2 linked regions of the Caenorhabditis elegans genome follow. The protein of the gene in region 2 interacts with the protein of the main gene of each other region in a biochemical or structural test. Each region holds a gene or a part of one and is shown on either strand. Other genes may lie near its edges.

Region 1 (3,752 bases), 6.7 Mb from region 2:
AAAACATTTGCAAACGATTTCAAAGAAGCAATATTGAGATTCATAGTCAGTGGGGAACGTGAAAATGATATAAAAACAAGTTGGGCAGGAACAATAATACGGCGTTTCTATGCGGTTTCTGATACAGAGTTAACAATTGCAGATTCCAACTTTGATTCAGTTCCATTATCCGTCATTGGTTGCGTTTCCTTTGGTGGATCGACTGGTTCCCCGTAAACACGAATCAAATAAGCACATGTCTTTGGCATATCTCCATGATTTTCGCGGAAACGGAATTGCACGTGATTGATCGGTGAGTGATTTTGAATTGTTGGCACCGAACAGAATTGTTCTTGCTCGTCATAACTTCCATCACGTTCCTTATATTCACAGTTGGCGACAAGAGGCTGCCATTTGGTGCAACATGAGTCCGTGCATGCCTGAAAATATATAATTAGTTACTGAACACAATTTTTATATAGCTTACCACGACATCGTAGAGCTTCGGGGCATGATTTGGAACAATCCCGCTCCATCTGACATGTTGATACGAGACACTTTTCGGTATGACAAATCTAGCGAGCTTCACGGTCAAGGTCGCACGTTTATCGTATGTGCACCACGCTTCTCCTGGGGATAGAACGTCGCGATCAAGCAAAGCATATCCCTCCTGGAACGTTCCGAAGTATGACATGAAATCGTAGAAAAATCCATCTTTTGCAGAAACTGGACGTGATGAACAAGAATGATCGATTGATGCACCAATAAGACTGTTGGCAACATTCACTCCAAGAAGTGCTCGGCGTGTTATGTGCATTGGTTGAAGCTGGCTAGAGGGAGGAAGCGATGCAGTTGGTGCGGTCTCTGGAGCCTTTTCTGGTGTACTGTGGATGATCTTTGTGCTTTTCTGAAAAATTAGCATTGGGAAAATATATTAAATTTGAAAATTACCGCATCATCGATTTCCTTTTTCATTTGTTGCAAAGCATCGCTAATTTCTGCTTGCCATAATTTGATCTGTTTGAGCTCTTCGATTGCCGACTCTTTCCATCCTTTGCTGTGTTCCAAAACGTTTTCCAGTAGTTTTTCCAAATGGTCAGTTTTGAAATCGAGTTGTTTATCGTGCGCCGAAAACTCTGCTCGGAGATTGGAAATCTAAATAATATAAAAATTTATTCTGACTGTTCATTCATTGTACCGTCTGATGAAATTTCTGTTTTTCGGACGCCCAATTCGCGTCTTTATCCGCGTAGGATCCTTCTGAATTATGATGCGTTCCATCGAATAAACAATCACGAGCATCTGAAATTATTCATTTAGATACCCACAACACGTTTTCCCGACTCACACTTGTATAACATAGCAAAAAGAACAACAGCCATAAGAGTACGTTTAAACTGGGCCCACGTTGGAACAAAACGACGCCGAACCATGCGAATGCGATATTCCAGCCAGTCATACCACATTTCCTTCTTCATCGAAGTGATTTCTTTGTAGCTAAAATGCTCCTTGTAAATAAATTTCGAAGAGTTCAGATCAATTTCAGAATCGTCAGCCGACTCATGAAATCTCTGAATGGTGCCTGTAATCGTTCCAGGTTGGGAATCTCGCCGAGTAACTGGAGTAGATGTGTCTAGCGGCTGATGAACTCCTGTTCGAGATACAGAACGGGTAACTGGAGGACTGTGGCGATTCGAAAACTGCGGTGAGATGGTGTGTCGCAACGCCATACCGAGTAGATCTGGAAGTTTAGAAAGAAATTGAATGAAAAAAGCCTGTGCGGAATTGTAATTTGGAAATTAAGAAACAATGCAATATTTTCAAGAGCGAGAAAGTTGTTTCAATTAAAATAATTATGAATTAATTGAAGTTTAACTGCACTTTACAAAGCATAAACTTTTTAAATGCTTTATATTTGTCTTAAAACAAAAAATATCCGAACTGAATTCGAAAAATGAAAAAAAAAACCAGAAAATCGAAACCTCGAATTCAAGCAGCCCCGCACTGATTGCGGCAATTCTCAAGATCGCGTCGAGACCCTCACCGCTGACGTATTGCACCTTTGAAAGTTACTGTAGCAGTAAATATGATTTGGCAGGCACAGAAATTTTTTGCGAAGAGTTTGTTCTCATTAAAACACGAGTATTTATTCTAATATTGGCAAAAACATTTTAGAAACTGATTTTAGTAATAAAAATTAAATCGCTCTCGAAGTTTGCCTTCTCTGCTGTGAGTTTGAATTGGCTTGTGAAGTAGTGAGAGAAACTCTCACAGAAACGAGTTTCCGAATTTCTTTTGAAGTGAAAAAGAAGAAGCACGGCGTTGCAGCTCCAGCGCATATTTCAGTCTGCAATACGGATAATTTTTCAAGATTGCTATGGAAAAATTAAAAAAAAAACGAACCGTATTAATAATCCGTTTTATCAAAAATGCAGTTGCTATTTCAAACTTGATAGTTTGGCATAATAGGAAAACCGACGATGAAATCTGGAAATTTTTTTTTTCATTTTTTCGTTCTTAAATCAAACAGGACCTGAAATAGGCAAAATATAAAAACCGCCTGTTTCAAAATAGTGAGCTCGTATTTGTTGAGTGCTGCTTTTTTCATTAAAATTATTTTAATGATAATTGCAATATATATTCCCAGAATAAATATTGGAAGAATAAATTGTATTAAAATTTCAATCTGAAAGTGTTTATTGGACTGGATATTTTCATTATTGTGCTTACAGTTTGTACAATTGTCGGTGGAGCAATATTTTTAATTCCACTACTAGTTTCACAACTCAAAACATAATGTTTCATTAAAATTCGTTCATCATATTCATATTGGCAGTTATTCATAATCATAGACACTACAACAAAAGCAGACAATACCCATACCATTCCCATCCAAAAGTATGTTATCGGTCTGGGATTAGTAGATTAAAATTCCAAAAATTTCAGAATTCCCTACTTTTCAAAAGCAATATCCGTGTGTTTTTTGAAAAAGAACACAAACATCCGATGTATTGCAATTATCAAGTTTGAGAAAAGTATTGCATTATGACAGAAATCGATTACATTGGACATGTAGTAGAATGAGGCTGAACAAAAAAAATGATTCAAAATTGATTCAAAAAAAGTTACCGGATTGAACGAATTCCTTGGTTATCAAAGCAAATAATGTCGCTGGTACATTAATTAAAAAGTTTAAAGAAGACATTATGAAAACAGAAATGGTCAGTTGAGTTAAAAACCAGAAAAATATCATCTGAATTTTTTCAATAAATTCCTTGGAAAAAGTTATGTAAAACGTGTTTCATTACTTTTTTGAAATGGCTCCAAAGGATCACAGAAAGAGCCAAGAAAACTCCAGTCAAAATAGTTGATGCAAATGTGGACATAACAAACAAGGTGATAATAAAATAATAGAGCCCATCCTTATCTTCTGGTGGAATGTTACCAGCTACCTTACAAGTTAAACATTTAATCTGCGACAACTATTTCATTTCAGCTAGTGTTTTTTCAAGCTCAACTGGTTCAAAACTGAATACCAGCGAAATTTTTCGAATTATTTTTTGAAAAGCTGAAGTTGTGGTAATTTACCAAAATTTTAACAAAGTTCAATCTAAAACATATTGGAGTTTAGAAATGATATTTGCAAAATTTTAAAAGATGAAAAAAGTTTTGAATTCAGGTTTCACCAATATTATAATTTGAAAATAGATTTTAGACCAACTGACCTCTCCAAGAACCGTGTCTTTTAAATCAGATAAATTCTTTCTTCTAAT
Region 2 (3,752 bases):
ATATGAGTACTTGGCGACGGTGATCCAATCGTAAATTGCAACGATATTTGGCTGAAAAATTAGAATTTTTAGGGTTAAAATGGCATTTTTGAGCATTTTTAACGCGAAAAATCACTTTTTATCGATAATTTTAGTGAAAAATGGCTCGAAAATAGGCCAAAAACCATTGAAATTGAATTAGGAGCGCCCAAAAATGTGTAGTTTGTAGTGTTAGCAGCGCCCAAAAACTGGAAAATTCTCATTTTTGAGCATTTTTGACCAAAATTACTTCAATTTTCGCTTAAAATTATGCTTTTTTGATCGAATTTCGTGAATTTTCAGCGAAAAATGCGGAAAATTTCGATTTTTCAGCAATTTTCCGTGTAAAAATCGATTTTTCAGCAATTTTCGTGTATTACTAACATGGCTGAGCTTCTTCATAACTTCAACCTCATTTCGAATATCTCGAGTTTTAGCGATTGCTCGGCTGCATCTTGTCGAAAATTGTGTGTTGAGCTGTTTAATAGCCACCTGAAACATGAAAAATTGATGATTTTTCCGGGAAAAAATGGCTGAAAATCGATTTTTCCCACAAAAATTGAGGGTTTTTATCGATTTTCCGTGAAAATTTCAAGGTTTTCGGCAAATTTTCATCGATAAATGTGTTTTTCCAGTTAAAAATCGCATTTTTCAGAGGAAAATTTGAATTTTCACAAGTTTCCGGTAAATTTTGGCGGTTTTTAGGTGAAAATCAGCAAAAAAAATGGCTGAATATGCACCAAAACTGGCGAAAATTCACAATTTTCGGAGATTTTATCGATTTTTCTGGAAATTTATCGATTTTTCTCCAATTTTCGGCATTTTCCCACGCCGCCCGTACCACTGATCGATCGGATTTCTTGTATCCGAGCAAAACTTTGCCAAAACCGCCTTTTCCCAGCGAATGGCTCGTCACGTGGTATTTTTTCGTCAGTTCCTCCGGATGATGGTCGGCGTCGGCGCTTTCGTACACGAAAACTGCAAATTTTCGGGGTTTTTTTGGGAAAAATCGACGGATTTTGGCGGAAAAACCCGTTTTTTTGGGCAATTTTACCCTAAAGCTTTAAAATCGTCAAAAACGCACTGATCAGCGCTGGAATCCCAATAGAGATCAAATCTCCGTTCATTAGCTCTCTGGACAGCCCTTTTCCGATCATTTCCTGATTTACGAGGGTCCCGTTGCGTGAGTGATCGTGTAGATAGATTCTACGCGTTTCTGTGTCCTGAAATATTGATTTTTTTGGCGATTTTTCAGTAGAAAACTACTCTATCAATGGAAAATTGAATTTTCGAGATAAATCTGTAGAGCCCGACGTCTTTGGCGACTTGAGAAAAGTTGAAATTCGTCGGAGCATCATCCGAGCCGCGTCCGCACACGAAATGATCGTCTGCCAAGTCTGGAAAATCGATTTTTAGCCGGAATTTCGTGAAAATTGCGGGAAAATCGACAAACCGATGGAAGAAATGCCTCGGCGGACGCCGACAAGCTTCGCGAAGGGTTTTGAAGCAGCACACTGTGATTCTCCGACGACAAGATCCTCGTCGACGGGCATCGTGTCGTCTCGGGTGACCGGAACCACCACGATTGGCCTAAAAAATTGAATTTTTTGCGATTTTTGGGGCAAATTTTGGTGATTTTTTACTTTTCCGCCGAGCTCCGACGTCTTTTTGTCCCGCGAACCATGGAAATCGCTGAAAAAATGGAGAAAATTGCGAAAAAATGGAGAAAATTGCGAAAAAAACGAAGAAAATTGCGCGAAAATTCGATTAAAAACAACTAAATCCTAAATAAAATACGAAAATACGAAAATCGCGGCGAGACGCGGCGAAACCCATCGATAACGAGTACTGCGCCTTTAAAAACTACCGTAGTTTTTTTAACGAATTTATTGACTTTTTCATTGGTTTTAGACTCAAAATCAATAGGAAAGTCGATTTTTTTTTCAAATTTTTTGTAAAGTTTTTTGAAAATCGTGAAAAAAACAACCAAAGCTTGCAAAAATTGAGTAAAAATTAAAAAATCACAAAAAAACATTAAAATCGCGGCGAGACCCATCGATAACGAGTACTGCGCCTTTAAGAACTACCGTAATTTTTCAATGAATTTTTGGATTTTATTCAGTTTTTCCGGGTTTTAAAACGTTTTTAACGTAAAAACCTGTTTAAAATGGATTTTTTGCATGAAATTTGTCGAAAATTTGAATTTTCTTCATATTTTTCTCGAAAAAATCGCTGAAAACCACCTAAAACCCCCGTTTTTTTTTCAGAATTTGGTGAAAATGGACTACCCGGGCACTGGAGTCAAGCAACCGGAGGTCTCTATCGACTTAAATGGCTTTTACTCGTCGAATTTCGAGCAATTTGAGCACCCGGACCAGTCATCTAACGCGCCAAGTACGAAAAATCTGAATTTTTAGGCCAAAAAACTAGAAATTTCCGTAAAAAATCGATTTTTTTTTGCAGATTCCGGCTCAATTTCAAGCCCGACTGGACAAATTTCAGCTCAGGCTTATCGTCGTACTAATGCTGGAGCCGCTGGAAAATTTATGGAGAATAGTGGATTTGGGTGGCTTCTGGAGGTCAATGAGGAGGACAGTGACCAGATTCCACTGCTGTAAGCGCCAAAAATGATGGAAAATTGGCTACAATCGAAGAAATTCGAAAGAAAACGGAGAAGAAGTCGAAAAATTTGAAGAAAAATGGGCAAAACCCCCTTTTTTCGACAAAATTCCCGAAAAATTGCAAAAATCCTAACTTTTTTTGGTTTTCCGTTAATTTTTCAAGTTTAAAACCTAAAAATTCAACTTTCCCGCGGAAATCTACCCCCAAGCCCCATTTTTCAGCGTTTTAGTGCAATTTTGCGTCAAATCTGGTGTTTTGGGTTACTGTAGCGTGGTGTTTGCGGACTTGACACCTGATTTGACGGAATTTTGCACTAAAACGCTGAAAATTGGGGCTAGGGGGTGAAATTGCATGGGGAATTCCAATTTTTTAGTTTTAAACCGCAAATTTCGACCTAAAACTAGGAAAATTCGAGATTTTTCTGAAAATTTGAAAAAAACTAGACTTCAACTCTGAATTTTTCAATTTTCGAGTCGATTTTCAGATTCTCCGTGCCAAAAAACCCCTAAGCCTCATTTTTCAGAGATTTAGTGCAATTTCGCGTCAATTCTGGTGTCTTGGGTTACTGTAGCGTGGTGTTTGCGGACTTGACACCTGATTTGACGGGAAATTGCACTAATGAGCTGAAATTTGAGGTCAGGGGGTGAAATTGAATGGGAAATTCAAATTTTCTAGTTTAAAACCGTAAATTTTGATCTAAAACTGGGAAAATTCGATATTTTTCAAAAAATTTCGAAAAAAGTTCAAAAACTGAGTTTAAACTTCAAATTAATCGAAATTTAAGTCGATTTTCGGTTTTCCCAGCCAAAATTACTCCTACACCCCTATTTTCAGCGATTTAGTGCATTTTTGCGTCAAATCTGGTGTGTTGGGTTACTGTAGCACGGTGTTTGCGGACTTGGCACCTGATTTGACGGAATTTTGCACTAAACTTCTGAAAAATTGGTTTTCGGGGTGAAATTGCATGGGGAATTCGAATTTTTTTTTTTTTTTATTTTTCCAAAAAAAAAAAAATTTTTCAAATTTTTTCCATTTTCAGCGAAGAACTGGACATTGACCTAACCGATATTTACTACAAAATCCGTTGTGTGCTCCTTCCGCTGCCATATTTC

Evidence for each region. Proteins that work in one complex are often made in the same cells at the same time.
Region 1: of the proteins of chk-2 (region 2) and sun-1, one has a biochemical effect on the other in vitro, tested with the Caenorhabditis elegans proteins (one study listed by BioGRID).

The regions. Positions count from the first base shown.
Region 1 is NC_003283.11:13,191,819-13,195,570, forward strand, and holds the start of sun-1 (Sun domain-containing protein 1), read right to left. Parts: upstream 1,721-3,752; 5' UTR 1,710-1,720; coding exon 1,328-1,709; intron 1,282-1,327; coding exon 1,178-1,281; intron 1,135-1,177; coding exon 931-1,134; intron 887-930; coding exon 467-886; intron 420-466; coding exon 108-419; 3' UTR 1-107. Other genes in the region: F57B1.1 (G-protein coupled receptors family 1 profile domain-containing protein), read right to left, coding at 2,177-2,326, 2,383-2,466, 2,513-2,665, 2,710-2,890, 2,936-3,065, 3,109-3,232, 3,288-3,431, 3,705-3,752. UniProt on the Caenorhabditis elegans protein: Involved in centrosome attachment to the nucleus. Required for zyg-12 localization to the nuclear envelope. Together with pot-1, it is required to anchor telomeres to the nuclear envelope in embryos.
Region 2 is NC_003283.11:19,914,272-19,918,023, forward strand, and holds the start of chk-2 (Serine/threonine-protein kinase chk-2), read right to left. Parts: upstream 1,753-3,752; 5' UTR 1,703-1,752; coding exon 1,662-1,702; intron 1,609-1,661; coding exon 1,472-1,608; intron 1,416-1,471; coding exon 1,285-1,415; intron 1,242-1,284; coding exon 1,103-1,241; intron 997-1,102; coding exon 860-996; intron 511-859; coding exon 403-510; intron 52-402; coding exon 1-51. Other genes in the region: Y60A3A.19 (Protein YIPF), read left to right, coding at 2,298-2,412, 2,482-2,632, 3,680-3,752. UniProt on the Caenorhabditis elegans protein: Serine/threonine-protein kinase which is required for checkpoint-mediated cell cycle arrest, activation of DNA repair and apoptosis in response to the presence of DNA double-strand breaks.